Lepisosteus oculatus: one gene and its partners. The protein of the gene in region 1 purifies or fractionates together with the protein of each later gene. This does not show direct contact. Links are inferred from orthologs where the notes say so. Each region holds a gene or a part of one and is shown in the gene's direction. Other genes may lie near its edges.

The links.
Region 2: the proteins of eps15 (region 1) and fcho2 purify together in Homo sapiens (affinity purification with mass spectrometry; 3 studies listed by BioGRID and IntAct, with this or other methods). This does not show direct contact. The link is inferred for Lepisosteus oculatus from reciprocal best matches to the Homo sapiens genes EPS15 and FCHO2.
Region 3: the proteins of eps15 (region 1) and ap2s1 purify together in Homo sapiens (affinity purification with mass spectrometry; 5 studies listed by BioGRID and IntAct, counting the BioPlex papers as one, with this or other methods). This does not show direct contact. The link is inferred for Lepisosteus oculatus from reciprocal best matches to the Homo sapiens genes EPS15 and AP2S1.
Region 4: the proteins of eps15 (region 1) and gja1b purify together in Homo sapiens (affinity purification with western blotting; 3 studies listed by BioGRID). This does not show direct contact. The link is inferred for Lepisosteus oculatus from reciprocal best matches to the Homo sapiens genes EPS15 and GJA1.

What each region holds. Positions count from the first base shown.
Region 1 is NC_090704.1:27,626,766-27,634,607, reverse strand, and holds the start of eps15 (epidermal growth factor receptor substrate 15), read left to right. Parts: upstream 1-4,840; 5' UTR 4,841-4,885; coding exon 4,886-4,912; intron 4,913-7,842. UniProt on the Homo sapiens protein: Involved in cell growth regulation. May be involved in the regulation of mitogenic signals and control of cell proliferation. Involved in the internalization of ligand-inducible receptors of the receptor tyrosine kinase (RTK) type, in particular EGFR.
Region 2 is NC_090698.1:24,444,264-24,452,187, forward strand, and holds the start of fcho2 (F-BAR domain only protein 2), read left to right. Parts: upstream 1-4,914; 5' UTR 4,915-5,065; coding exon 5,066-5,098; intron 5,099-6,789; exon of another isoform or gene 6,790-6,884; intron 6,885-7,924. UniProt on the Homo sapiens protein: Functions in an early step of clathrin-mediated endocytosis. Has both a membrane binding/bending activity and the ability to recruit proteins essential to the formation of functional clathrin-coated pits.
Region 3 is NC_090698.1:783,598-791,580, forward strand, and holds the start of ap2s1 (AP-2 complex subunit sigma), read left to right. Parts: upstream 1-4,969; 5' UTR 4,970-5,135; coding exon 5,136-5,138; intron 5,139-7,033; coding exon 7,034-7,183; intron 7,184-7,482; coding exon 7,483-7,596; intron 7,597-7,841; exon of another isoform or gene 7,842-7,880; coding exon 7,881-7,940; exon of another isoform or gene 7,941-7,983. UniProt on the Homo sapiens protein: Component of the adaptor protein complex 2 (AP-2). Adaptor protein complexes function in protein transport via transport vesicles in different membrane traffic pathways.
Region 4 is NC_090697.1:1,441,009-1,448,528, forward strand, and holds the start of gja1b (gap junction alpha-1 protein), read left to right. Parts: upstream 1-4,520; 5' UTR 4,521-4,660; intron 4,661-7,520. Other genes in the region: gap junction Cx32.2 protein-like, read left to right, coding at 1-1,019. UniProt on the Homo sapiens protein: Gap junction protein that acts as a regulator of bladder capacity. A gap junction consists of a cluster of closely packed pairs of transmembrane channels, the connexons, through which materials of low MW diffuse from one cell to a neighboring cell.

The sequences.
Region 1 (7,842 bases):
AATCTTTGTTTTTTTGTTTTTAGACTAGTTGTTAATGTAAACTTTTTTTAAGTTATGGTGTCCTGTAAGGGCCATTCTTTTCAGAAACCCATTGTGTGCTTTAATGTGACAAGTCAAATGTAATGGATCCACTTTCTATAGATAGATCACATACTGTATCTCAGTATCTGGTTTGTTTCAGTAGAATTTCAAAATGCTGCACCTTTTTTTTGTTAAGACTCTTTGAGAAGACATTTCATCATTTTGTTTTTCTTTGTAAAGCCCCCTTGTCTTCATTAGTCTTGCTGCATTTCCAGTGAATGTTGTGCGCCGTCCTTTGTAAACCTGTGCTGCTATTCCTAATGGGCTCATTTTGCACCTCTGTCAATGTTGAGGCCCCTGTCAAATAAATCCATGTGGTCACAGTTTCTAAACTAGTATCCTTGGCCTCATTTGAAAGAGTTGAAATTACCAAACAAATAGATCCCTTGTAAAAAATATGGTGTTTGTTCATATGCAACAGTATAGTGTTTTACATTCTGCAGAATTATTTAGAACACCAGTTTTATAGGCTTATAAAAACAGACTATAACAGGCTTTTCTGGGTTAAATAACATGTTTGAATTTTGGGGCAGCTTTTTTTCCCTGTTACCAAAGCCAGGTGATAACCATCCTTGAATTATTTAGCACATTTATCAAACACTGGTAGTTATTTTTATTTCTGTTCAAAGGACATCTGACATGCTGTTTCAGGTCTGTGGCTCTAATCGTCACCTGCTGTAGATTTGTCTCCTGTTTTAAGAGCACCATTTCATTTCTTCTGTTTCGTTTGTGAAATGGGGTTTACAATTTCTGTTGCAAAGTCTTCATTTACTTATAAAAAAAAAGTGAAAAAACGCTATTTCCCCCACATTCCTGTGAAATACATTTGTTCTGTATTTCCCATCTCCCTTGTTTTTAACAAGGATTTTAGGATATCCCATCTGTAACTACTGGTGAAGGGACTGTGCTTTTAAAATCCATCCAGTTCCTTCAGTTCATTGTAGGAACATGGAGAAAATCTGAATTGTTTGAGAGTGCTGGTATGTGTTGTTCAACAGCCCCAGTGCCCTGCCTTGCCCTTAGGAACTGCCCATATTACAAAAAGACCGGTAAGCCGAACCAGAGTGGTTTAAATCATGCAGAGTGAATGTTAGTTTGTCCCGTTTTAGAATCTTTATTAGCATCGAATTGGAAATAATGTGAATTGCACTGCTGTACATTCAATCTGAAACTTACCTGACCGGTGACCGGTTTTGGTTTATGTTCCTTTTTTATATTTTTTGTATTTGTTTATGGGGTTTTGGGGGGGAGGGGGAAGGGGATGGAGTAAGAAGATTGTCCTGCCGAAGATCTGGTTATGTGAGTTCCTGTACAGTAATAAACTAATTTAAAAGAGTCTCTGTTCTTTCCCTTGAAATATCAGGGTGTTCTGGTTAAAACTTGACCTGCTCCTCAGAATGTCAAGAACTAAACCATTAGACTTGAGAAAATGAAGGATGATGGGAGTACAGTAAATGCACAACATTGTCAGGTATGTGTAACAAGACAATTCATGGATCTTTTGTTTTCTAGCAGTCTTAAATGGTGATAGCCTGGACTTAAATGATCAGTAAATTGGTGATACTGAATGGGTCTGCTGGGAATAGAAGTTGAATACCAAAAACTTGCTGGCATGAGCTGCCATGCATATTGGACAATAAAGCATAAAGCGCTCAAATCCAGTTTTGAATGTGGTGGAAGTTGGTACTGTGTTGAGTGAAGATTCCAACCTTGTCCTGCAGTTCAGTCCTTAAAGATGGACCAGGTGTGCAGGACTCGAGTCCTGAAGAGACAATTTTAGCTGTTACCAGAGCCCTTAATGACCTAATTAAACTCTACAGTTGAATCTTATCATTGACCTTGAGGACCAGAGGTGGGCATCCCCCACCTAGGTGGATCCAGACGGATCTGGAGCCAGAAAGGGATTGCTATAGTGTAGAGTAGTGAATCCCAGACCTGTTCCTAGAGGAAGAGGGCCTCTCCTGGTTTTTGCTCCCGCCAAGTTCTGAATGACAGGCTATCTGCATTTAAATTTACCAATTTTAATTATTTCAATTTTCTGTTTGGGCCATATTTGTACATCTGCTTTTCGGCTCTTGGGAGGTCAAATGGAATTTGTATTTGGTACCATCAGCTTCAATTTCTGAGTTTCAGAACCGAACGCAATCGGAGTTGAGAACTACTCGTTCGGAGTAGGCACCTGAAATGTAACTAGAGCTGTGCAGAAAGAAGAAAACTCATTCGACCCTGTGTTCTTCATCCACTGATCTACAAGTCATGGCTGTTCAGTCAGAAATACCAGCAAGCAAATGGAGGAGAGGGGCAGTAAGGCGTTAAAGTGGTTACCAGTGCTGGGGCCCTGGGTTTAATTCGAGAAACTGTGATATGATCTGGGTGGAGTTCATATGTTCTTACTGCGTTTGGGAGGGTTTCCTCCCGGGACACTGGTTACCTCCCACCGTCCAAAGCCATGCTGGTAGATTAACTGGCTTCTGTGAAAACTGGCCCTGCTGTGAGTGTGTGCATATTTGTGTCTGTGTTATAACCTGTGTGTCTCATCCAGGGTGTGCCCTGGAAGTTGATGGAAAATGGATGAATTTTCAGCACTGTTTGAATTAACTAGGGGCAATGCTGAGGTTAGGCCTGTGGCCTCTGTAACCAGGGGCGAGTTAAGGGTTTATGTCCTCAGTACCCTTGAAGTTGTATTTTGTTACACTTAAGACTGGCTGAACAATCAGGTTAAACAAACAAGCTAATGATGTCATCAACTGGTACTACAATGAAAACCAGCAATGTTTCTCAGGACCAGGCTGGGGGACCACTGGTGAAGAGGGCTTCAAGAAACCATACCTAAGGGACAGCAAATGACTCCTTCAAACAGATGATGAGCCTTTTAAAACTGATTCAGGTTCCAAATGCCATTATAGTATCAGGTAGAATGATTACCAATTGAATGAATGGAACAAAATGACAGATTTAGAGACAGGCTCATGAACTAATATGTAAAGCAGAGTTTCCGCTTATGCATTTGCATAGGCACCGCAGTCCACAGTGGATATGTTTTTTGGTGTTCTCGCGTTAACGCTTTTGCATTTTGTGATCCTAATGCTTTAAAGTACTTTAGGAAAATGTCGAGAGCTGTTTATGTCTGTCCCTCGGGCAAGCCTATTTATCCCAGTCACTTAAGCGAGTGAAAGGCGAAAAGTACTGCGGCAGGGCTACAACTGAGTCTCGTGGCGAGAGGCAAGTGTAAGAAAATGAAAATGAAATGAGTGAAAAGCCTCATTTCGGCAGCCAGGGAATAAACTGCAAATGTTTTCCTAGATAAATTCAAAACAATTGAACGGGTGCAACCGGTACAGAATGACAAGAATTCTAGTGTGGTTCTTCGTTCCTAAAAATAGTCATATATTTTGGGGAAGTCATAGACTTTCTATGTTAATACACTTGAATGACCTTTTATAGACAGGTGGTTCTGAAAGAGAACGGTAGGCATAGTTTAGTTTCTGCGGCCACCGGATCCTTTCAAAAGAGCACTATCACTTGCACAAGTAGATGATTTAGGGAAAACAAGGTTTATTACAATAAACTTACGCTGTTCAATTTGTGCAAATTCTCAGATCCACATACAAAAGGGATATCGGTTGTGGAAGAAAACGGAAAAAGGGACCACGCCATCTTAACAAGTTAGATTGTTTTGGATTTATCTGGGAAACGTTTGCACTTTATTTTCTTAGCGGTGTTTTAGTGTCCGTGAAAGAAACCACTCGGCTAATGCGCTGTCTGAAATTTAAAAGATTAAAACAGTACATAAATGACATAATACTCTATTGCAATGACAAAAAATACCGAGATGCACAACTTCAAAATAGATTAAGAAAAAAATGTTTAGGGCAATCAGCAATTCGCCTCTAAATCCAATCCACTAATAAATTCAGTCACGTCCCCTGCAAAATCTAATTTCCTCACCTTACTGTCACTGAGCGAAGTAACTCACTCAGGCTAACTGTTGTTAAAAGTCGAGACGTGTTTAAATTAGCATAAATATAATTTGGTTAAAACCATCAGGCAATGAAAAACTTCTGAACCAGATGGATAATTTATGTAACAGCTCCCCCTATTGGAATTGTTAGATACGCTGTTTACTTGCTAATATTTAGTGTCATTTGTTGAAGTGGGGTGTGAAGCTTAGCTGGATAATTCATATTATCTTTATGTAACAAACACGTTTTTCTTTTAAAGATATGTTTATAAAGACTCTCATGATTTTTTTTGTTTTCAAAGTGTTCTTCTACTCTTAATTTACCGTGACCCCTTTCTAATGAAATTGTGAGAGTACAAGAACTCGTAATTTGAACTATTTTTAAACCAGTCCTGTATAACAGAAACATGTGTTCCGATAAATGTGAATGTATGAAAAAAAACAAGCTTAGGTTGATTAGTTTACAGAACGGGATACTTCGACAAGTATGAATGGGTACAACAGATTATCACTTGGCATATTTTTAAACTTGTTTTTTTGTTTTTTGTATTTAATATTTACAAATGGGTTAAACGTTTGTCCTTCGTTGCCTAATACAGTGATGCTCCAACTGCATACGGACACAAAACAAGACAGTGTGCTGCCAACCCGAATCACCGCCTTTAACAAAGTTAAAATACAGTAGTTTGCAAAACTCCTCCGGAGCCGAGCTGGTTTGTCACGCCAGTGCCACGTTTTGCAGACAGCCGCATCCAGTTCGATCGGGGCTCCTGTTCCTGGTTTCCTCGCCTCCCCTATATTGCCCAGTGCAACGCAGGATGGGCTAATGGGAAGAGAAACATTATGGCTGCCAGTCTCTCTCTGACTCAGGTAACTCTGCCTTTTCAACAGAATTACCGCGATTAACATTCCTTCAGCTGCATGTTTTAGACGTTGGACTGTGTGGGGCGATGAGGAAGTTAGAGCAGGGCTGTGAAAAGGAGGCTACACACATGTTTGTGTGATTTTCTAGAAGTTTGTGAATTGGGGAAAAAGTTTCTGTTTTTAATCTCTTTGGGGACTGCGTAAGGGCGTAGTTTGTGTCAATTTGGGGGTGGGGCTTTTGTTTTTTAAATATTTTAAACTAGTACTCTGTTACATCAGCTAAACACGTTATTCCCAAGACGCGATGTTGATCGCTTTGTTTCCAACGTGTTTTGCTGCTTAGTTTTGTAGTGTCAAGATATCTGTTGGGTGGCGAGATAAAATGGATTACCCGCTGCTGTAGTGTGCAGTACATCGAAAGTTTGAGTTTGGGAAGAAATCGAACACACATGTATTACGTGCTGGAAAATAATAACTGGATTTTGCCCGTCAGTTTGCGAAGCAAATAAGACTTTCGACGTTTATAGTGAGTCATTTACTGACTATTAATTGCAGCTGTCTTTCGAAAAAAGTATATGCAAAGCACGTTTATAAATTTTGGAAGTACAGGCATTCGTTGTAACGTGCCTAGTTGAGTTAAGCACTATATCATGTCTTTCTGTAGTGATCTGCTGTAGTGTAAGTCTGTTGTCATAACCATTTCGTTGCTCATATTCTCTGTCCTCTTATCTTGAGCTGCCTCTTATGCTTCTGCTGTTATCTCGCGAATTTTAAACACTGTTCATCAGACTTAGCTGCTCGATTGACAATCCAGTGTTAACCAACGCCTTCATCCGTGTTTTTATTCTCCTGCCGGCCTGGGTGTCATAGGCAGTTTGTCTGTTAGTACGATACTGCGGTATATCCGTCTTTTACACTTCCAGTCGGAGCATCTTGATGCATGATTTTAACAGCGCCTTTTACGTCAGTAATGATTAAATTACAGTAAGGAATGAGCATGTGTTTTTCTAAATACTTGTTACGCTTGTAACCGTTTTGCAAAGTTAGTGTAGGGTTGTCTCGCAGCGCTGCAATTTAGTTTTAAAACGAAATGAAATCTATGCAGCTAGACGAGCGCAAAATCTGTTTTATATTTTAAAGTTGAAACAACACATTATGCATGGGTAAAGTCCCGAAACATTTTTAAGTTGTATTTCAGTCTATGAGAACACACCTTTTAGCTGGAATGCTCCATAGAGCTCATGCTGTTTTCTATAGGAAGCACAGAAAGGAAAGGTTATTTTTGCGTCTGCAAAACTAGCTTTAAGACAGCTGTAGTTATTAGAGCTACTTGGATTCAGTTATTTAGGGCCCAGACTAAACACAGACTTCGATTGGCTCTTCCTGTATAGTGTTGCCAAAGAAGAACTTGTCATTACAATGGCAGTCTGGCCAACAGGTATTGGGAGATCTGGGAGTGACTGATGAGTGATCTTAGATTATTCTTAAAACTTCCCGTGGTGAAGTGCCTATGCAAGCATAGGCCGTCCTGTGTATTGGCCTAGTTGTAAGGCATTTACAAATTAACATTTTGGCTGATTAATTAAAAATGAAGTTGTATTGATTTCTTCTCTACAAGTTCATCATTTACATTTGCCCAGCCCCAGTATTGTAGCGTTTTGAGGTTGGGGGTTCATTGTAAGATTCGGGAGGTCGGTACGCTCACCTGACGGTTGTCAGAGTCCTGGAGGCCAGACGGGTGAAGATGAGAGGCTGGTGCTATATAGTTCTCTTTATAACTCGCCTTCCCAGAGGGTGTGAAGGGAATGGTGAAAGGAGGTGCCCACTTGATGAGCCCTATAGAGTGTCCTGACTGTTTCACTCTGGACAGTCGTCAAACTACCGCTTGAAACTGGCTGATCGTTTGAGGGAAGTGTTTTTGCTTCTGGCATCAACAGCAAGGCCAGAGTTAAAGTGCCCAAAGGAAGGGAAGCACCAAGGTCACGTTAAGATCCTGACTTCACTGTAACCTAATGTGGATGACAGCTAATTATAGGAGTACGAACAGAAGAAAATCTCCTGCTCTGTACTAACATCGCCTTTAATAAAGAGACAGGTATAATTAACTCCATTATAGTTCAAGTAGGTAACTGCGTTAGCGTGCATAGGCTGCAAAGGAACAGGTTAAAGTTTTATTCCATGCTGAAAAGAGAAGAAAGGAAACGCAACGTTTCGGCTGTGGAGCCTTCACACTCAAAGAAGGCTCCACGGCTGACACGTTGTTAACTTTCTTCTCTTTTCAGCATGGCCTAACTCAGTTATCGCAGAAAGGTGTTGCCGTACTTAGGGGATTTTAATGCTGGTGCATTTCTTTTTGATGATAATTTGAAAATGTGAAGTGAGTGACAGGTCAGGTCTTAACGGACATTATTGTGAAGTTATTCGTAGTAATTTATGTTTAGAGCATCGCTTCATTTGTTTGTCACAGAGTAAAGTGGGTAGGTTAAGATATATCACACAACCTTTCTGTTTCCTGTTTGTTTCTGATTGTGCAATGGATCTACCTAGATTGCTTTGGATTACGTAGTGTGCAGTCTCTTTCCATTAAAGTTTATGTTTGAATCTGAGCTCATTTATTTTTGCACTGCCCAGAAAAAGCTTTTACCAGGCCATTTGGCTTTTCATACATATTTCATGTCATCGTCTGCCAATGTTATCTGTCTGCTAATTTCCCCTATTGGTTTTGGCAGTTCCCTGCAAATTCAGATGAGAGAATCATCCACTATTAAAAATGGGTCTTGCAGTACTGTAATTATTGGAACAATTCAACTGCAAATAGGATGGGGGGGTCGGCCAATATAGTGTCACAGCAAAACAGGAGTTGCAGGAGCAAGACATTTTAGTTTGGGTTCACCAAGGCATGGGTTATTGGATGGCAGATGTTATTCTGAGGAGAA
Region 2 (7,924 bases), on another chromosome or scaffold:
TTCAATAGCTAACAATACAATAACATAAACTGTATATTTTTACTAAATAGATCATTTTAACTTCTCTTTTCCGTTACTTTTAGAAAAAAAAAACAATACCATATCCTAACTATGACACTAGATGGCACTAAACAAATGTGGAAATGATGCCTCAATCCCGATTTCAGAGATTTGCTTTATTTCACGACGAATTGGAAGTGGAATTAAGACTCTATATGGTACTATTACATAGCCCATTTTAAATTTTAATAATCGACGTACTGAAAAAGTAATAAATGATTCTTGTTCGAACTGTGTATTTGGTTTCTACCCGTCTTTTCTTACAAGCATCCGACCCTTTTAAGTAGGTATGCATTTAGCCCAGTTCTAGACGTACGAAATACTGAATATTATTGTATAGCTTTCTGGTTTTTGTTTTAACTGTCACCAATCTTGCGGAAAGTGTTTTTACTGAGCTTTGAGCTTTTTAGCACCCCACGTACCTTATCTCTGTTTACGACATTAATGTTTAGTTATCGCTGCTCTTTGTTTTTAAATCGAAATTGCTGTTTGTATTCTGCATTCTTTAAACACATTTTACTGTCTTTAATTTACAAGCACACAACCTTGGGTTCAAATATAACCCACGTTGACTGACACATTCCTGGTACAGTAACGTTATTAACGTTATCAGATCTCATCAGAATTGGTCTGTTCATTGGGTTACTCCTTAACTGTATCACTTTGTTATTTTTACAACCAAAGTGTTAGTGCAGTCTGCAATATTAATTCTAAATGAATGATGTATCTGATATAAACTTTGATAATTCGTGTTTTGCCTTACCCAGGAGACCCCAAAGATGAAGTTCAGCAGATTTGGTGTAAATTAAGGGCAATGTAAGGGATCCTGTGGCTACTGCAATATAGTGTGATGTTAATTCGTTTGCAATGACAAATATTTTCACAGTTATTTGTTTTTTTTTAAAACAAAACAATTCTTAACTAGAATTATTTAGAAGAATTTGGAAAGCAACAATCCACTTCAGGCTTGTGTGTGGTGAAAAGTACAAATAAGTCTATTGCTGTATGGTTTTTGACCCCAAATGAATAGGGCAACAGGGCTGAGGTTAGACAAATCAACACCACTCATTAAACCCTCTTTCACCTCACTTCTCTGAACTTCTCAGTACAGGTGAATAAATACATTATTATTTCATACAGTAAGTTTTCATACTTTTGTATTGGAAAGAGCTGCTATTGTGTAGATTAAGCACTAAATTTTCAATTATTTTGTTGAAACTCTGAAACTGTATCCCAAGACTTTGTGAGCAGCAGAGCTAGAAACAGCTCAAGCTGAAAACACTGTCCAAAGAATGATACTACTTTTATTTTATTTTCAGTGCATTAGGAAGTAGTTGCAAAACCTGCTCTCAAATGTCTCAGGTAAATATTGGGCTACAGTGTTGCCCAATTGCCATTTTCTATGATGGGAGGAGTTTCGCATGTTGTCAATATGCATAGACTCAGTATAAGCCCTCAAGCTGTAGGTGCCGTTCATGTACAGTATAGTGAATATTTACTCAATTGGACCAAATATTTCTTACAATATTTGTACATGCCATTTTCTGGGGAAAAACAACTGTGTATAAGTTTCACGGTATTCCTGTAAGTGGATATCTGAATATTTATCTAAAATGTGGGGTGGCACGGTGGCACAGCTGCCTCACAATGGTGGGATTGTGGGTTCAATTCCTAGGTGCTGTTTATGTGGAGTTTGTATGTTCTTCCCATGTTTGCATGGGTTTTTTCCAGTTGCTCCAATTTCCTCCCACAGTCCAAAGACATGCTGGTAGCTTAATTGGAGTGTGTCTTTGGTGTGCATGTTTGTGTCAATTAACTAGTGTGCCATCCAAGGTGTATATTGCATTATGCCCATTGCTTGCTTTGATATTGCTTGCTCCAGCTGCACTGCGATCCTGTATTGGATAAAGCAGTTAAGAAAATGGATAAGTGAAATTTAATATAAACGGAAACCTCTAAAATCAGAAATGGTAATCAGAACACATTCTATGGTATGATAAACTTTACTTCCAGGGAGACTGGGTTTTATGTGACACTTACTTTTGAACTTGATCCTATGCAGCTGTAAGTACAGAGCTGGTGTCTGTATTGTTGTGTGTGGAGATGGGATTTTGATGCATAAAGATTATATTGGGAGGCTGGATATACTTCTTTCACTGGACATAAAAAGGTTTATTCCCTTTTCGTATGGATAGATTCTTTTTCTTTTTCTTGTGTCTTTCTCTTCAGGCGAGATGGTCACACATTCGTAGAAAATTCCAAATTTTCCTTACTTTAAAACTGAACATGGCAACCATATTTTCCTGTTTTGTGTCAATATTTTGCACTGTCCAATTTGTTTAATAGAAATAAATGAAATGTGGAAAAATTGGACCTACTACATACTAGGCTGTGGTGTTCATCAACATGAAGAATCTCTCAATGAAGCCGACTTATTTTAGCTGAAGCAGATACTACTTTTTGAAAAACAAAATTCACTAATAGCTAAACTCTAGTGTTTTTGATAATATTTTGGTTTGTGTTTTTTTTATTAAGTTTCAGACATATGGGTGTCTGAACACAGCAGATATGTCCAAATATCTGTCAACAGCCTTGAGCAGGACCTCCCTTTGTTTAGTAGCTCAAGTTCAGAAAACACATGGGCATAGCAGATGCTTTTCCCCACAGTACACCCATAGATTCCCAAGCTCTTTTAGATCTAACTACTCCAAGCAGCAACAGAAATGTATTATAATTAGGGACTTACTTAATCTGATCAAGCCTCAACCTATTAGTGTCTCCTTTTGACATTTATGCTTTTATTTCATGTGATTTAATCAGAGTATTATACAACACATCTAACACAGGCACTGTCTTTTTCCATGTATGGCCCCAACTTCTTATAGGCCCCCCCAAAATGTAATGTTAATTTAATTAAAGGAATTTATTTTCCATTTTATACATTCTTAATAAAGTTGATTTGGAGCATGTTGGCATTTTTACTAATTCAGAAAGAGGACTTAATTAATTAAAACACATAATTAAAAACACAAATGTAGATTGCACTACTGATAGCTCACATTGTCACACTGTCTGGTGAATAAGGTGTCAACAGGAAATGAGAAACAAATTATTTAACGCATTTAGCTTCTTGGAAGACTTTTTAAATATATCAAAATGTATCTCATTGGCAGGAAGCTGAATGTTCAAAAAAATTACATTGGGTGGTAAAAATGACCTTGTGGATGAAGTCAGATTATCACCTGAGCTTGTAGAAAACTGTTTTTAAATAATATAATAATTTAATTAAATGCCATAATTTTAATATAAGGGGCAGCACATTGGAGTAGTGGTTTGCATTGCTGCCTCACAGATGGGGGACCTAGGTTCAGGTCTGGACCTGGTGTGCTATCTGTGTGGAGTTTGTATGTTCTCCTCGTGCTTGTGTGGGTTTCCTTAAGGTGCTCCGGTTTCCTCCCACGGTCCAAAAACATACTGATAGGTATGGCACCTACCGGTAGAAAACGTACTGGTTACTGGGAAATCTGGCCCAGGTGTGTGGACTTCTTTGTCTCTGTGTGCCCTGTGATAAACTGGCTTATTGTGCAGGGTGTAGCCTGTCCTGCACCTGTTGCTTGCTGGGTCTTTGGTTTTCCCAGCTGTCACTATAGCGCTATAAATATAGATACTATAGTGTTAGATGCAGTAATTCACTGATTGTACACGATTTGACTGGTGTAAAACCAATTTTGAGTTTCCCTCACTCCTTGAAATTCCAAATATCTTTTCATACAGGACTCCCTTGCTTTTTAAATAATTGAACAGTAGCTAAACAGCAGCAATTCCCCCTTGTAGCTGAATATCATCAGATCTCAGGAGCTCAATCTGACCAGGAAGGTGACATTAGCCCCCCTTCAAATCTTGACAATGTGGGATTCTTCTGTGGCAGGAGACTGTGTCTTGTTGCCTCCCTCTAGGGAGTGCTGCTAAACAGAGGTGCACCTACACTTGCTACATAAGCAAGGCTGGACATCGTCTGTACTGGGATGGGAGACCTATAAGGATATTCAGGTTGCTACTGTAAGGGGTTCTGATGGACCGCTAGGTGGTGCTATTGCTTCTACCCAGAGTGCCAGTAGAGTGACCAGCAGTTTTCAAAAAAACAAGGGTGTTACTGTGGCTAAATTCCAAGGTTGCTGGTGCATAATGGCAGCCATGTGTTACCCAGATAGATGCTTTACTTCAGTGGTGGATGAATTTGGTCTCCTTACATATGTAAAGCATGTTGAAATTCTTTGGGATGAACAGTGCTCATGATGTAAAGGCAGTATTTATGATTAATGATAAAATATTATATTGCAATGTTTTAATAAATGCAGTAATTGTTTCATAACTACAAAGGAATCTCAATGGGTCCTTCATAGGTAGGAAGTATGAAAGATTTGTTATAATTCATTTGATAAATATGAAAACAATGTCACTGGTAATTATGCTAAAGATAGTTTCTCTCATCTATCTCCAGAATATTATACCTTTTTGATTACATTGGGAAAGTAACAAGAAATAAAAAACTGTTACTAGGGGCAGAATATTTGGAACAAGCTGTCCAGCCATGTTGCTGAAAACAGTTTCCAGGAATCCTTCAAGAAATGGCCAGAGGAGATTTTGTTCGATTCAAGTTACTAGAAACCGAATAAACCAATATGACTGAATAGCCTTCTTTCATTTGTAGGCAGCTTATACTCCACTTAAGACAGTGAATAGCATAATGGTGCGGGGTTGAGAACTGGATGCCCTGCGAGTGGGGACTGGCTGGAATGTGCAATCACTGCATCAGCCAGGAGGGGCGCTGTTTGTCGTCTCGCTCGGGGTGAGCCTAGGCAGGAGAAGGAGGTGGAGTCTGAAGGTGGGGAGGGAGAAAGAAAAAACAGGAGACAACAGAAACAGGGGGAGGACGACGGTCTGAGACGAAAATAATAAAAAAAAACAAGTAGACCTGTTACCGCAAAGAAAAAGAAAAACGAAGATGACAATGGCCTATTTCGTGGAGAATTTCTGGGTATGTCTCGCATTTTAAAATTTTTATAATGCCAAGTATACCCCCTCCCCTTTCTAATAGCTGCTTTGACAGTTTGGCTTACATATACTTTTGTTGTACGTCTAAATTTTGAGATATACTATTAACATGAATGGGAAGGGATCGAGTTGGAGCACCTGCCAGTTTAATGCAAAACCCAGTATCTCCTACTTTTTAAAGGCGAAGACGTTTACGCCACTCCGGGGAATCGGGCCTCTGAGGCTCCATCTAACTTGGATGCCTGAAAGCCCGCCCTCATCGGTCACTCATTGGCTATTAGTGGTTCTCTAGTAATGTTTATATTCGTGTCTCGGTACTCCATTGACCTGTTGCGATGTCACTCAAATTTCTAGGAACGCTAATTTCTTCCGTAATTAAGTTAGAACGAGAGAACAGATTTCTAAAGTTCTTGAGTTAGCAAGGGCGAATTTGTTACCCATTTGAGATGAGTAAAATTATAGTTAACTCATTGTATTTTCCTAGATTGCTGGTATTTCATGGTGCGTTGATTTTGTAAATCAAAAGACTTGAACTTAATAATCGGGTTTGAAGGCCAGCCTTGTCCAGACGTGGCTGTTGTCGTGTTTTTAGACAAACGAAGACATGAGAAATGAATAAACAGAACCCGAACCCATTTTTCAAAAAGTAAATTACGAAATCTAGATGAATGTCGGAGTTTACGTGGAGTACGTGTATCACTACTACTATACAAAATGTCATATTTCTAAAAAGAAGCAACTATAGTCTTCATGGATTTAATTTTTTCTTATTTGTTGTCGACTGGCTTCATGTTTAATTACCCAAGAAATATTAAACGGGGAGTACTGAAGTTTAAGATCTCTTTTTATTCCCCATTGAGTATGGAATATTGCTAGACAAGGGAAGGCTTCAATTTTTAACGCGATTTAGTGTTGATAGTACAACGAGTTTGTGGATAAAACAATGTCTTTTGCTTTTAACGTGGCTGTTAAAATCGTACAAATTACAAGTCAGTCCTCATTGAGAGTATCTTGTAGTTTTGGTGATAGTTGTAAAGAGGATGTCGCAAACCATGGAAAGAGCTGAATTCAGATTTCTATGGAGGAGATCACTAGGAACTTTGTTGCATGTACTGTACAGTGCAGTATTACAACATTCTGAAAGGTATTGACACAGTGTGTCCATTAGATGGGCTAACTCAGGTTAAAAAAGCAGCTGAGCAATCGGAAGTGTGTTTCAGATTGAGAATAGAAAGCATTTCCAAAGGGCGCTGGTCTCTGGAATATTCTAACCCATGTTTCTGATACTGATTTCTTGGGATCATTCACAAAAGTTCTGTGAGCTCCCTAGATTCCTAATCTACCAAAATGGACTAAATGTCTTTCTCTAAAATGTTAGCTGTCATATACTATGTGGGTTGTAATAGCTAGAAGTACATTATTATAAAGTTAATTATTTTAAGGTGTGCTTTATTTAATTTAAGATTGTGTGACACAAACCACTATTGAAGTTATGTTGAGAAAAAATGAAGGTTTTAACATGATGCAAAATGTCTTGCAGTAAAGATGAACTTCTATCTGTGCAGTTGGAGACTGGAGGGAAATGAGTATGAAACACGAGCAGTTGTTTGTATTCCTTTACAGACGAGCCCAAGATGGTTTTGTGGTCAGTATGGTGGTGTCCAGTGTGCCAAGGAGTTGGAAACCAGTTTGTCAAGCGATTTGTGTCACTGTGTTTGTAGATCGCCTGGTAAATACCTCTGTCAAGATTAAGAACTGATGCTGTGCAGGTATCCTACCCAAATGGCTTTCCTGTATCTTTTTACCCAGTAGTCAACAGCTTGCAGCCATCTGTCCCAGTTTTGATTTGGTCATCTGTATAACTCTTGTTTTCGCTGAGGTTGCTTGGTTAATGGCTTTAAGTTGATGTGGTGGGATGGCCTGGTCTCAGCTACCCTGAACATTTCTGGAATACTCATGGAATACATAGGGCATCTTTACAGAAACACAACACAGCCAGTGATTGGACCATTAACTGATATGATAAGAGTCCCACATTCTCAGCTCTTGGATTAATAGTATGCAGCTTGTGATGCAGCTTCACCACTGTGAGAGAGGAGGTTGTACCAATCCTATTATTTTTCTGCAGTGGAGGAGGGGGCTCCTTTTATGTTTAAGCACAGGAGTGCAATAACCTTTAGGCATTAATATTGCAATTGTAGGGAATTGTCCTTCTGGAGTTTAGGGTTAAAACCACAAGGTTTGATTAGGTAGCTTTCATGAAAATGAGCCATTTCTTTGCCATTTTAGCGTGAACCGTCAAAGAAATGCACTGTAGTATGAGTGTTCTGTCTTTAGAAAAAGTGGTAAAGCATAACATTTTGCTGGCTTGTGTTTTTTGTGATGAATGGGAGAGTTCTAGATCTTCATTAAAACGTCCACGTAAGAAACATTGATAAGAGACCAGCATGATTTGTAGTTCTAGTGTTTCTGCCCTTCAGGAGAGTGGCACTCTTTGTTTTCAGGTGCAATAAAAGTGATTATAATTAAGACACATATCAATTATGTAGTTAACATAATACAGTGCAGTTTTCCAAGATGTCAGAAGGTGTAGCAGTGCCCCTTTACTTCAATATTCAAGATAGAGGGAACTGCAGAATTATTTCAGTTGAGTGCAGGATTAGAAAAATATCCATATAATTTTGAACTCCAGTAATTGTCATATTTTGTTATTGTACAGAGCATAGAGGGTTTTTCTGAGTCATTCTTGTGTTTTCCTGTTCTTGTTAACCTCAGTATGCTATTAATATTTGGTGTTTGTGGCTTTATC
Region 3 (7,983 bases), on another chromosome or scaffold:
CCCCAGTTTTTTTATTTTCATCGCTCATGCTCTTTTTCTGACCCCATCACCCCACCCCTTCCAATTTTCCTACATATCCTAAGAAGTAAAACTTTTGTTTCTGTAATGGATATAGAATGGAAAGGGTATAGCTCTTCTGTTCTACCCTTGGTGCCAATACCAAAGAGGACTACAGACCTCCTTGTAAGACATATGGGCTTTCATTTAAATTAAATTAAAAAATTAATAAAATTGAAGCACTCTCTCTGTAGCTTTTTTCTTTAAAAAAAACAGCATGACCAGTGAGTACCCTGCTCTCCGAAGCTGAGCAAGGCTGGTGCAGTACTGGGAGGGGAGACCCCTGAGGAGAGCCAGGTGGCTGCTGTCAGTGGCGCTGGTAGCCCTGTAGGTGGCGCTGCCTTCCGCACCAGGCCACTGTGCTGTTGCAGGTGCTGTTCTTCAGGCGAGGTGGTTATTGATGATCCTGGGCATGGCTCGTAACAAGTGTCCTGCCTATCCCCCACTCTGGGCTTGAGCTCTCTGACCTTCCTAAAGCGCCCCTCCCGATTCTCACGGAAGGTTTCTCCCTCCTCCCCTGACCTGCTGCGTGTCTCCTACGGGGGGGTTGAGGGCTTCAGGAATGCCTGCGGAGAAAAGCACTATATAAACGTAAGAAGGATTAAAAAGCCCTGACCTTTGTCGCCCAGGAGAAATTGCCTGTTTCGAGTCTCAGGTCGTGTGCATGTGAACAGAGAGCTGGGTGACATCCTCTGATTGCTTCCTGTCACCAACACAGTAAAAATGAGCTGCTGTTTTTAAGCTCCTAAGGAAGCGAGGACAGAGCTCATCTCAGTCGATCTCGGGGTCTGCGGCTGGAACCAGGGCCACACAGACTCTTTAGAGTCAGGTACTATAGGTGCCTAACTGCACCTGCAATTTCAGGAGTATGTCCCTATATCCTGCAGTATTCGGGGGAGTTTATGGTGTGATTGTAGGCTGTGTGGTGTGATTGTGTGCGCTGGGGTGGTGTAGTGTGATTGTGTGCGCTGGGGTGGTGTGGTGTGGTTGACAGTGTGCTGGGGTGGTGTGGTGTGGTGTGATTGTGTGTGCTGGGGTTGTGTGGTATGGTTGTGAGTGCTGGGGTGATGTGGTGTGGGGTGGTGTGATTGTCAGTGTGCTGGGGTGGTGTGGTGTGGTGTGATTGTGTGTGCTGGGGTGGTGTGGTGTGATTGTGTGCGCTGGTGTGGTGTGGTTAGTTTGTCAGTGTGCTGGGGTGGTGTGGTGTGATTGTGAGTGCTGGGGTGGTGTGGTGTGGTGTTATTGTCAGTGTGCTGGGGTGGTGTGGTGTTGTTGTCAGTGTGCTGGGGTGGTGTTGTGTGATTGTGTGCGCTGGGGTGGTGTGGTTAGTTTGTCAGTGTGCTGGGGTGGTGTGGTGTGGTTGTCAGTGTGCTGGGGTGGTGTGGTGTTGTTGTCAGTGTGCTGGGTGGTGTGGTGTGATTGTGTGCGCTCGGGTGGTGTGGTTAGTTTGTCAGTGTGCTGGGGTGGTGTGCTGCGATTGTCAGTGTGCTAACGCCATGCCTGAGGAAGTGATGCAGAAGGCTGCTATTGACTCCTGAAGCACTATGGGAAAAGTGAAACATGCCACTTGAGGAAGGTGCTCATTTTGAAATGGCAGGACTTTCAATTTACCCTTGCTGAGAGAGTCAGAGCAAGCGCGCTGTGTGAGTGCCCTTTCTGCTTCAACACTCTAAGCAGCCTCACCTCTCCACCTTCAGAAATGCGGGGTGAAATTTACTGGCACGTGGAACAGCCCCCCAGTCCAGCCCCCACCACCCCTCCTGCAGGAACCCTCTTCTCCGTCCCGCTGGGTCCCAGACTGCAAAGCGTCCTCCCGGCCGTGACGCAGTGCCACGCGATGTGGCCGCCCCACAGGCTCAGAGGAGTAATTAGGGTTGTTTAGGTTATGCTCAGTGCTGGGTCTGTATCCTGATGACCAGTAAACAATTCCAGGGCCAACACCATTACAGCTGTGTCTTGCGAAATTCCTGAGGTTAGAATGACAATGAAATTGTCTGAACAAATGCACTCCATTTTCTTCCAGTATAATTTACTCTGCTCCCTCTGTGCATGTGTTCTGAACCTGAGCTCGCGAGGACGCGATTTCAAATCTGCGTTTCATCAGTTTCAAAACCATTTGTCACCCAGGCTGCTTCCTACGTAGTCTAGTTTAAAACTGTCAGCAATTCCTTCCAACTCACACCACAAAAACTTTTGCAGGACACAAGCAGAAATCCTGCATGTTGTTTCCTGTCAAAGCTATCCTTCAGGATGTTCCACGCCGGATTCTTCAGGAACCTGCAAGGACTCCCAAATTCTGGCAGGTTTTTTTTCTGTGGGTCTTCAGACAGCTTTTAGAAACTCTGCGATCAGCTCCAGGAGGAGGACTCCTTCACAGGACAGCCGAGCCAGCGCAGTTCACAGGGCAAGAAGAGGCCAGGCACAGAGGCGCTCCCGAGGCCAGCGCACTGACAAACATACCAATGACAAGAGGCCACTCGACCCCACAAGCCCATTGGGTAAAAGACTTCATATCCGCTCTGTGTATCAGAAGAGTCAGTCCTAAATAGGACAGGATTTGCTTTCCTGGGGTCTTAAGAAAGTCCTGAACTGGCACTGACGCTTCACTGAATTCAAACAATTTTGCAGAACAAGCTCCCAGTACAGCAGAGAGGGCACCTCTCCGGCCCAACCCTTTCTCCCAGTGGCCAACCGCTTGGGCAGCTCTGCCTCTGGACGACTCGGATCTGGAGGTGTATGACATCTGAACCGCTTCCGAGCAGGAGCAAAGCTACGGAGTAGAGGAGCCCATCCACTATGAATTGATAACAATGCCTGCCCAATACTCAGGTATAGTTTTTAAAATAGTCAGGTTTGCAGACAACATCAAAATAAAAGGCCTGACACAGAGAGACAGCAAATGAAATTCCAAAAGGCTTAGGTAAAACTCAGTACTGGGCAAGCAGCTGGAGATGAAGTTTAAGACAGGCTGCAGGGTTTTGCTTGCAGGTAGTAAAAGAATATAAATACAAAATGAGAAAGACTGAGCAGGAAGATCTTATGAATAAATACTGAAGTGGGACTACATGGGCTAGATGGGCCAGATTGGCTCCTCTTTTTGGGGTTAACTATTCTTTTGTGCCTGTGGGGTTATTAGCAGCTTACTCGATCCGACAGGCTCATCCTGTTATTTCTGAAGGGATCACAGAGATTCTGCTCCAGCTGACTCGTCTGCTTTCTGTCCAGACCCCTGTGACTCTTGGTGTAAAGGACTGTCAGCTGTTTCTCAGCCCTGAGTGCCGCCTGCTGTCCCAGGTCCTAGTCTTGATGCCGAGACTGAGGCAGTCAGCTCAGCGGTTCTGTTCCTGCCTTTCAGGATTCTGAGAACTGTGAACTGCCTGAACACAGTCAAAGTCAAAGTTTCAAAGTCAAAGTTTATTAACAAATGCACAACAATACAGCGTACAGCAGTAGTTGCTGGCAATGAAATGTCTTTTCTACGAGCTCACTGGGGGGATAAAAATCACACCATTAAAGCTACAAATAAGGTGACATAATAATACATAATAGTGCAATAGAAATTGAATAAAATAAACTCAGACAGAGCTCAATATAAATAGAGCTGCGGTGTGTCCAGGGTGTGTGCAATACATTATGTCCAAGTAGTGCAGTATGATGAATACAGTGAAAACTGTGTGTCCATGTAGCCATTAGGGGTGATTTGCGAAGGAACTGCAGCTTGGCTGCGAAATCTGCTGCTTAAGGAAGCGCTGTTTCGAAATGCTCCTCTCCAGGGGGTCGAACATCATCCCTGCCCATGTTTTATACCCGAAGAATGCGCCGCCCCGTTACCGCCCTCTGCTGTCGCGGGGATGTACTGTGTGTGCCCGACTGCTCCGAGGTGGACAGGCTAACTTCATACTCCTTAATATATAAATGAGTGTCTATTAGTGTGTGCACACATATATGACTGTATTCATACATACGGAAACTACACATATGTACAAGTGTTACATCTCCTTATAGTTTTCTGTACCCACGGGGAGATAAGCAGGTTTCTCTTTCATTCCAAACGTCTACTGATTTCACTGCTTCGAGTGGGTAATACAAAACACATTATCAAATCACCCATGCCACTGTAAAAACAACAACATCTCCATTTAACGGTCGTACTGCTGTATTTCAGCCAGTTATTTATCGGTTTCTTTGCAGAGAAATAAAGCTCGTGTTTTTGGTATCTTCCGTGCCTCGTGCGCCTCAGCGGGCTCGGGGTGGCTCGAGGGCGATTTTCTGGGACTTCGTGGGATAGCATCCACAGTCACGTGCCGTCACTCCCACGGCATCCGCGGTGCAGCGATGACCCGCGCAGAGACCTGCCCTGTACCCTCGGATCAATACCTACCCCCTCCTTCGAGTCCTCGCCTCCGAGTCTGCCCGTGTTCATCTGTGCAATAATACCGCCTGAACAGCAAATGGTTCAAGACGCGACTTGCGAGGGCGCCGCTGTTACTTTGAGGTATTACGTTATATACCGCGGAAGAAAATCAAAGAACTGCAACCCCACTAAAATATTTTGCTCAAAATTCGTCAGATCTTATCGATATTTTGCGTACTCATGTGGATCACAGGACGCGCAAGAAATTTTAAATAAGAAAATTTACGAATTTTTAAGAAAATGACTTGAATTCAGCTGTTCATATCTGATGTCCGCTTTCTCACATCCACTAAAAACGCCTAAGCTGACTTCAGCTAAAATTTCACGTGATATTGTCACAACGCTGTCCCCAGGGGCGACCTGCGTCTAAAAACATCATTTCCCACGACACCATTAAGATCGTAGTGTCTTCTGGTAGTTGTAGTCATCCGTTCCTTTTTCAAGCGGCCGTTCGTGACTAGGGTGGGGGCGGCTTGAACTACAATACCCGTAAGGCACCGAGCTCAAGGCCTTTCCTGGACTTCCTGCCTAGCGGTGATAGCGGAGAGCAGAAGGGAAGGTCTTATCATAACAGACGAAAAACAACATTTAGTCAAACTTATGATTAGATCACCCCCGATCGCATAATTCTGTTCATTTGAGAAACCTGATACTTGGAAATAAAATGGTAAGCAAGTCTTTTATTTTATCTGCGACTCCGTTCGGCCGAAGTCAGGACTCGATAAGAAATGAATGGAGGCCCATTGGGCGTTTATACGGTTTTAACCAGATCTTGAGCGTGTAATTACACCCAAAACGTCCTCTACTGGACTGAGACGACAGATGTGCCTTTCCTATGGGGCGTTTGACAATGATCGCCGATGAAGCGTATTCCCAGGTTGCGAGAATCTGTCGGGGCGGTCTGGTCGCTCTGGGCGCTAACTGCTACTGATCTCTACCTTTACTCTGGTATTCATTACAGGCGGATTGATTGATCTTCGTGGGGGTATATGTTTGTCACACATTAATTCCTACTGCTGCGACAGTTGAATCCGTTTACTGTCCTGATCCCGAGTCCTGACCACCGGTTTCTGAGCTGTCCGCAGTGTCGAGCTGTCGCTTGCGATGCCCGCTCCTCCTCACCAGAAACAATCCTCTTTCAGAACCTGCGCCAAGTGACCAAGTTTCAAAGGTCATCCTTTCGACTGCTGTAATTTTGCTCTAAATCGAAGACGCGTTCAGTGTCCCTGTGCGGATTTCGGTACGTTCTGTCCCGTCGAGTGTCAAATCTATTGGCATCGACACACAGGAGAGTTTCTAAAGAGCCCGGAAAAAGGTCATTTTAAAAAACAAATACATTATCTGGTATAAATAATCGAAGCATATTTAATCAGACTGTATTATTTATTATTACATAGCACTTTTCTGGACACTCCACTGAAAGCTCTTTACAGGTCATGGGGACCCCCTCCACCCCCACCAGTGTGCAGCCCCACCTGGGTGATGCGCCAGTACGCTCCCCACACACCAGCTCTCAGTGGGGAGGAGAGCAGAGTGATGAAACCAGTTCAGAGAGGGGGTTATTGGGAGGCCATGACTGGTAAAGGCCAGGGGGGAATGTGTCCAGGACGCTGGGGTTATTCTCATCGGACTGCAGTGTGTGGAATCGAGCCGTTGGTGTAAGACTCCGTCCAGACAGCGGGGCCGAGAGACGGAGCCGCTCTGACCCTGTGCTGTCTCTGACGGGGCTCTCGATGCTGTACAGCAGTCTTTCCTCAGTCCCTTATCAGACCCTCCCTGTTTTCGCTGAGTCCCTCACATTCCAGGAAATTGCAGGGGGTGTAACCCAGCACTTCCCTCCGCCCTGCTGTGGGGCGCCGTGGCGCGCGGTTCAGATCGGAGCTCTCTGATCCCTCTAGACCCACCGGGCCGGCGCCGGGGCAGGCAGGTTCTGCTGCTCTGATCCGGCAGCCTCAGCCTGGTGTTGTCCAGAGCCCCCCCCGGCTCACGCTGCAGGTGCAGGGTTCGACAGGAACATACTGGTAAAACACTGCTCTGACTTGTCATCTGAACTGCTCAGAGGAATAGCTTTTTTAAAACACGTTTAACGATGAAAATTTGGAATTTCAGCTTTGTGAGCTGTTTTTCTCAGTTTTTGCTGCTCTTCTGGCAGCTCCTGTTGTTTTAGCTGTTTCATTTGCGTCCCGTTGCACCAGCTGCAGACCTGTAGCCCTTCGCCTGCTGCTGTGCGTTGCAGCTCTCTGGGCTGAATGTGTTTCCAGGAACGGGCTCTTCAGTCGAAACAGCATTTTAAATTCCAGCAGTGTAATTCGCCAGGAGCCTGCAATGGGACTCTTCCTCATTTCCCTCGAAGCTCTCTGGTGTTCCTCTGACCAGGCCTGTGCGTTAAGCAGGCGTTTGATGTCAGAGGTGAGACTGTCGGCGGTCTGATTCCTTGAAGTGTCGAACTCGTAGGCGTCTGTCTAGTTCAGGCTGCAGCGTGTGCAGAATTCAGAGCGACGGAGCCTGGAGACAGCGCCCACGAGCTGCTCCGCCTCTCAGCCCTGCCCTCCTCTTCCACAGATCCGATTCATCCTGATCCAGAACCGAGCAGGGAAGACCCGCCTGGCCAAGTGGTACATGCAGTTTGACGACGACGAGAAGCAGAAGCTGATCGAGGAGGTGCACGCCGTGGTGACCGTGCGGGACGCCAAGCACACCAACTTCGTGGAGGTGCGGCTCGGGGGGGGCAGAGCACCAGCCCTGCTGCACGCCCACGCCTCCACTGGCTTACTGTAACTCCCCCATCCCACCTCCCACTTCCCATCCTGCTTTTGAGCTCCGTGGCCTGGTGACGGCACTGGGAGCCGCCTGAGGAGCTCTGACGGGAGCTCTCCCCAGAGGAGGGACAGCCCCGGTCTCTGAAAGGAGAGATTCCTTCCCTCCCTGCCCCTCACTGCCCCCTAGAGTCCAGGCGTGTGACAGCAGCACAGCTGCCTCTCAGTGAGTGACCCCTCTTCCTCTCTGTGCAGTTCAGGAATTTCAAGATCATCTACCGACGTTACGCTGGCCTGTACTTCTGCATCTGTGTGGACGTGACGGACAACAACCTGGCCTACCTGGAGGCCATTCACAACTTCGTGGAGGTAAGAGGGGCTCTGCGCCGCGGGACGTCCCAGCTGGGCTCGGGGCAGCAGTAAGGAACAGACGCAGGCGGGGTTCTGCGTTGGGATGGACTGACGGGGCAGGGGGCCCGGAACCCACAAAGAGGGGCCGGATGGATCTTTCAGTTCTAAGTGAACTACAGCAGGTTGGGTTTAACGTTCAAAAATCAAATTTACATTTTAGATGATAAAAGTCAAATTTATGCTGTCAAATACACAAAGTCTAATTTCTCATCATGAAATGTTTTATGTCTTTATTTTTGTAGGTTCTGAATGAGTATTTCCACAATGTCTGTGAGTTAGACCTGGTGTTTAACTTTTACAAGGTAAGACTCCAGTGGCACTAAGGTGTTCACACTTTGTGAATGA
Region 4 (7,520 bases), on another chromosome or scaffold:
GGGACTGGACATTCCTGGGAAGACTGCTGGATAAAGTCCAATCCCATTCAACTGTGGTTGGGAAGATTTGGCTGACTGTCCTGTTTGTCTTCAGGATTCTGGTACTGGGAGCTGGAGCAGAAAAGGTCTGGGGTGACGAGCAGTCAGATTTCTTGTGCAACACACAGCAGCCTGGGTGTGAGAATGTGTGCTACGATAAGGCCTTCCCAATCTCCCACATTCGCTTCTGGGTTCTGCAGATCATCTTTGTGTCCACCCCAACCCTAGTGTACCTGGGACACGTCTTGCATGTTATCCACAAGGAAGAGAAGCTGAGGCAACGCAAGCTGAAAGAAGAACAAGATGGCAATCTGCTTATGAAAAAAATCAGTAAGATCCCAAAATATACAGATGCTGATGGGAAAGTTAGAATCCAAGGCAATTTACTATGCAGTTATTTAATAAATGTGATCTTTAAAATTCTCTTTGAAGTGGGCTTCATTGTAGGCCAGTATTATCTGTATGGGTTTGTTCTGGACCCCGTGTTTGTATGTAACAGGAGCCCTTGCCCCTTCAAAGTCGAATGTTATATGTCCCGGCCGACCGAGAAGACTATTTTCATTTTGTTCATGCTTGTGGTAGCGTGTATATCTCTGCTTCTGAATGTCATTGAGATCTTTTACCTCTGTGGACGCAAGATTAGTTATGCTGTAAACAAGCAGTATCAGCAGCAGATTGGTGGCTTAAAGATTCCCCTGACTTCTGAGGTGGTTTCTTCTGGTTTTAAAGCACCTCTGGATTGTGAGACTTTCAGTGATAAGCATAGTGTGCTACAGAACAAGACTAATTTAAAGATTGAGCAGAATGAAGACAAGCTGGAGAGTGAGATGACAAGAAGCATAAGTGAGGAGGAGTGTAAAATGAAGAGGGAAGCTGACCCACAACCTCCTTGGTGTGGTGAAGCTCAGAGTACAAAGCACAGCACTGAAGGAAGCATTCAAAGCATGAAAGACGACGAATATTTATTGAGTGAAAAGTAGATCAACTACTGCATTTCACCAACAAATACATTATGTAAGAATGAGGTTTTATATTTAGCCTAACAATGTCAATAAATGTATTGAATATGCTTTGTGTTATACAGTACCTACTCTGTGTATGGTAACAAGTAATAGGTTTATTCCATGCTGAAAAGAGAAGAAAGAAAACACAACGTTGAGGGTCACACCTGAAGACTCACCTCACACCTTAAGAAGGCTCCACGGCCGAAACGTTGTGTTTTCTTTCTTCTCTTTTCAGCATGGAATAAACCTTTTATAAAAAAACACATAATAAACAAGTAAAACAATTACTTGTTCCTTTTCAGCCTTTGCATGCTGACACAGCTACCCACCTGAACTACTACTCTATGTATGTTTGAAATATAAAGATTATAGTGTTGAATTAACACTGATAAATTCAGCTAACAATTCACAAAGCTCTGAACTATACTGTATGTGTATCTAAAAATAAATTCAAAATATTGCTAGATTATTTAGAAAGTGATAATCTAATTTCTTTACCTTTATCTAAAAGACACAAACCTGTGATTTTAAACCTGTTATTCGAGATCTGCCTAAATAATTAGGATACAAGAAAGGGTAATTTACTACTTGAAAAGACACATTTTCTACCTTCTACCTTCTACCTGTGATAAAAATCAAGCATCTGCATGGCACTCTTATTATTTAGCCAGTTTTGAATGTTCCATCTTGATGCTGTTTTGTGGGCAGATGAGTTGAAACTGGTATCCTGGATGCGCTGTGTGCGAAATAAGGAATTGAAATTCCTTGTCCTTGCCGTTTTTATTGCTAAAACCTGCTCCAGTACCTAAGACAAATATAATGTTGTTACACCCTCATAAAATCCATACATTTCATATAAATTCACAGAACCTTGTTCATGCCTTACAACACCGTTTTTAACATACACATGGTTTTCTGCACCACATTTTAGATTGCTGTTTGACTACTTCAGCAGTGTTACCGTCTTCTAGCCTGACTTCAGAGGCTGGCCAGTGCCGGGGCTGGGAGACCTTTAGAAGGAGCTTGGTTGTGGCTGTGCTGTTGGTGGACTAGCAGGTGGCACTGCTCTCCCTGGTCCAGAACTTGAAAGCAGCAATTCTAGGAAGAGTTACAAAAAATCAAATGTTTCTAAATACTATAAAACTCCTTTTAAGTTGTGTGCCAGTTCCATGCAGGCTCATGTCCTCCACTAACAATTTCATCCCGCTACACCTGGGGCATGAACCTAGGTCTCCAGTGTACCACAACAGGGAACCAGCCGAGTGAGCTAGAGGACACCTCCCCCAGCCCAGGCAGCTGAGATCCCCGCTACGCGCAGGGAGGGCGATGATGTCACCGTGTCCGAACTAGCTCTGCTACATGAGCACCTTGATAATTCATAGCTGGGATAAATGTGCTCTGACATCCTGTTGGGTTAATTGTGGCCTGTTGTGAGTGTGTGTGTTTGTGTCCGTGACTGTGCCCTGCGAAGGACTTGCATATCATCCAGGGTGTGTCCTGCCTTGTGCCAGTTGCTTGCTGGGACAGGCTCCAGCTCTTCTGTGACCCTGTATTTGAAGAAGTGGTTAGAAAATGGATGGATGGCAAATGTAAGAATAGTCTTGCTGTTTGTATTCTTTTCCCTTATGGCAACACAACACTGTCATGTTTGACCCTCCAGTTCTTACACAAAATGCCCTCAGTTGTGTACAGCACAGTCTATGGTCTGATTGAATACTGTACCTTAGTACTGTAGCTACTGAACTCAAAAGCAGAAATGTTATTTTCTGAATCCATCCTACAGAAAGAAGGAGATTTTCCCAGAGACTCCAACTTGTACAGTACACACTGATCACAAAACTTTCATTTTTATGTTTGTCTTTTCTCTAGTCTTCTGTGTCCTTAACTTGGTTTCAAGGTTTTTGTGCATCCTTTCTCCACACATACCTATGATGTGTCTCAGTGTCGGTAGCAGAAGTTCTGATCTCAGCTCTCCTGTTCGCAGAGTGGCATCTGCAGAAACATCATGCCAGTTCTGGAGGAAGTGAAGGCCCTTCCCTGAAATATGTGCTCCAGCACACTGCAGCACCAGCAGTCACAGTCACGCTTGAAAAGAGAGTTCAGCATCTTTCCAAAATCACATTACATCATATCATGGCACATTACTGCTTTCTGTACACATAATGCCTGTTTCTAGTCCACTTTCCATCTATAATCAGGCACTAATCACCTTAGTACTACTGTTGGAGCGTGCCTTGTCAGAGTAGAGGAAAACCTGATTTCTCCATTTAGTGTGATGGTTATGGTAAATCAGTTTTTCTTGGATTATGTTTGCTGGAATAATTAAAAGTCCGCTCAAACTATTTTGATTGTTTATCTTAGCTCATGAATTTAAAATGAAATTCCAAGGTACAGTACATGGTATGAGCTTCTTTCTACTCTAGAATCCAATCACAGATAAGGAAGCTACTGTGTGGTACAGTATGTCAGCTTGAGGACACTGAGAAAATAAGATGAATTCCAGTTGTAAATACTGGAATCTGCAGATTTTTCATTTATCGGAAAAACCAAATCATCTGTTAATTAATACAAAGTGTCAAGATGCGCGTACAGTACCTTTCATTACAAAGGACACTGAAAATAATTTCTTTCTTTGACCTTATTTTATGCAGTGTGCAGGAGAGGGCGCTATGGTCACAGCAATATGACGGTTGGAGCGCAATGCAGAAACCCACGTTAGATTTGCGTCATATGATTCTGTTCTCATGTTCAAATGATCTTGTCTTAATTGATATAATGCACCACTCTCTGCATATGGCATGCCACAACCTCATATAGCCTAATATAAATCTATATATGTGGATTAAACTCTATATTGTCTTCAAAAATGTAATAAATATAATCAAATTTCACAGTAAAACCACTTCAACGCAAAGTGGAGTTTCATTGAATAATTATTGAATACATGCAATTGTGTAGTTTTTATTAAAGTAATGCGCTGATCACCGACGGAAGTTTTATATGAGACATTTATACGGGCCGGGGTTATTTCTTTTTAGTTGTGTTTAGTGGAACTAAACTTCTTTATGAAAAATGCAAAGTTAAACATTTGAAATTGATTCTTACACAGGCAATCAAATGGAACTAAAATGGTATATGATCCGAAGAAATCATTAGTCATAATCTGTGTTTTTTTCTGTTTGCATCCTTAAAACGCATTGCAAAACGAGTTTGCTAAAAAAAAAAGCTCATATCTGACATATATTTGGTCATTTATTTTCACGTACAGGTAGCTGCTGTCCTCTAAACTTATAAACTTTTGAATTTCAATATTAGTCATTTTGTCATTGAAAATAAAATGTAGGAATCTCTACTCTGTATGGTTGGAGTCTGCCCCCCCAAAAGTTATCCGTGATCCTGTTAATTTGTTAGGAGGTCTACATTACGTCAGGAATCAGGTGACTACAAAACTTTTTTTTTTTAAACCCCAATGAAGACTGTTATAAGCAGAGAAAGTTTGACAAGTCAGTCTCAGTTTCTCCCTGGTCCCGAACTTGGATTGTAAGAAAACGGTGATAGAATTGGACAGATTTTCGGGGAAAGACAAGCAAGGCTCTTTTGTAACTTCGTCCTTCAAGGTAAGTTTGAAAACGAAAACGAATCAACAGACCATCTATACATTGAACTGTTAATTTGAATCCTCTGTACAGTATTCAAGTGAACGTCTGGAAGTCAACTTTTCCCAGTTAGTCACCCTTCCCACTCTGTAACATATGTGTTCAATTATTTTTCAGTTTTCTAACTGAAATCCGCAGTAAACATTTTAGTTTATCAAGTTTATAAAGTAGTTTTTATCATATTATTGCACACAAAGTTATCAGTGATTGGTGAAGTTGTATAATGGTTTTCAGAGACATGTAGTTCCATTAGATTTTCTTCTGTGTGTTAGCTGGTGCGGGGATTTAAAAAACGTTTCTCAAAAGTTTACTCTTTAACAGATTTAACAACATTTTTTTTATGTTTAGTAAAATCATTCCAGAGCTGTAGAGATGTTCTGGAATAGTAATGTATTTCACTAAAAACACGAAACCAATAACGAAATTGCGCAAATAATCTTTATTATCATTTTCAGATGTTATAAATCTTTATTACTTTGCCTAAGGCTGTAAACAGAGTCAAAACACAGTTTGTGGAAACCATCAAGGTTCTAAGTAATCGTCTTTCATAGGTATTTTCCAACAATGTAACATTCAATTTAATGAATATATCTTATTGTGAACATCTGGAGTGCACAGTCCTTGTATTGGTAAGATTACAAGTGTATTACTTTAATGTTATCTAAAAGTCCCTTGAAATATGAATAACTGACACAAAAATACAATAATAACATCAATAATAACATAACAATAATTCATCAATCCTATGGGATTACTAAAGTATTATCTATCTAATAACTTTTGTTAAATAATTATTAAAATATAATATCATATAAATATATTATTTAAAAATAATTGTATGATTTGTCTGTGCTTTACAAGAATTAACAAAACCCCCCAAAATCAACTACCTTCAACAAGTGTAGAAACTGATTCAGATTAATTATAAATGTGTGTATGGAGATTTTATAACAGTTCGTGTACAGGATGTATACTTCTATACTGTATATAGGCACACAAAGATGTGACTGACTGTTTAATCTGTATATTCAGCTGGTTTCTCTTGCCTTCGGGTCTTCTTTAACCTCCATCTGTGACCTTTCATTGATACACTTCTGAAGGATGCTCAAAGGAATTATTTTTCCCCAAAATGCATTTTGCAGCTTTTTTTGGCTCCATTGTGGTCACAACTCTAGTTTTCAGACAGACATCAGAATGACTGTGCCTCCACCCCATACCCAGCAGACCCTGCATGTAGTAAATTATAATTGCACTTTAAAAAAAATTAAAAGCAAAGCTCAGGACTGAATTTTAACAGTGAATATTATAAGAACAATACTCTCAATTGATCTTTGTATTACAGTGTATGTGGAATGTTCCTCATGCTTCCAGCTGGCAGTTTGCACACTCGGCAGCTTCGTAGGGAAGGTTTAAATAGGTTTAAATAGCTTTGCCAGATGGACACGAGGCTACACATACATTATTTAGAACAAGGCTAATGGTGGCTGGTGTCAATTAAGCACCTTCAGTTTAATTTGGATTACAGTCTATGGCACCTGTGTACAACTCTGACTTTAAGTACAGAACTACCATACTGGAGGCCTTACTATCGCTGTCATGTATTACCAGTTTTTCTTTTACGTTTCCTTTATATTTTAATGAGCTGGTTTTCTGTTCAGTAGACAAAAAATGTCGTTAATAACTTGACACCCAACATAATCATTGTTCTGATGCTGTATTTTCCTGTCATGTGTATGTACAGTATAGTCTTTGTAATATTTTTTAAATGTACTAGCATACTGTACATAGAGAGACTACAGGAGGCAACGTGCCTACTCACTGAGAGAATTGCAGCCCATTGCTGTTACTGGAACTGTACCAAGACATCCCATGAGTGGATTTACCAGGAAACAACTGAGAACAGCTCATGTGTAATTATTAATGTTCATACAGTATGTGATGACTGGCCAGGCCATGGCAGCCGTAATGACCTGACTCTCCCTCTGGCCTGCACATTGCAGGCTTGTTGTGAGCTGCTGTGTTGTCTCCTTTACAAATGTTGTTGCTCTTAGACAAATTACTGTAAGATCACACAGGCAGAGATCCGCTTAGGAGGGCCTTGCTGTATCAGATATCACCCCTACCACCTTTGCAGACTGGTCTGCGACCAATCACATCCCGCACCAAGGAGAGTAAGCACGTCACTGCTGTGGCCTAGTCTTGCCAGTTGAGCAAGTGTCTGCTGTCTTTCACCAATCTGAGAAAAAGATTCTTGATAAAACTAAGTGCTGAGAAGTAAAGAGCCTCTTTGCCAGCAAAGGGAAGCAATCTTGCAGATCAGAATTTATAATCTCCTCCAAATAATGTGAGTGCAGTGCCGCCCTGCATGCAGCAGTATAGCATGATAGAGAAGCAGAGTGTCAGCTTCACTCCTGCTTTGGTAGTGCTATGCATGCTTTTCTAATTAACAGATGTCTTTTCAAAAATAAGCATATTGTTAAGCTACCATATACTGCTTAACTTTAAAGATCCCCTACTCTGTGTTTTGTGAAGGCTTGTTGAAACTCTTGCTCATATTCTCTTGGGGGTTTTATGGATAAAAGAAGCAAAATAGTAGAGAAAGACCCCAACCTACAATATGTTGATTGCAAGTATTCACCCTTGTGACTGAATCTTGGGCAGCAGTCCCAGCTGCAGCTCTTTTTGAATGTGTCTCTACAAAGTCTTCTCTCCAGGATGGTGCAGTTGCACCCAGTCGTCTTTGCAAACTTGATCAAGCTCTTCAGCTTGACAGCAGTTCTTCTCACAGATGTGCTATAGGATTGAAGTCTAGACTTTGACT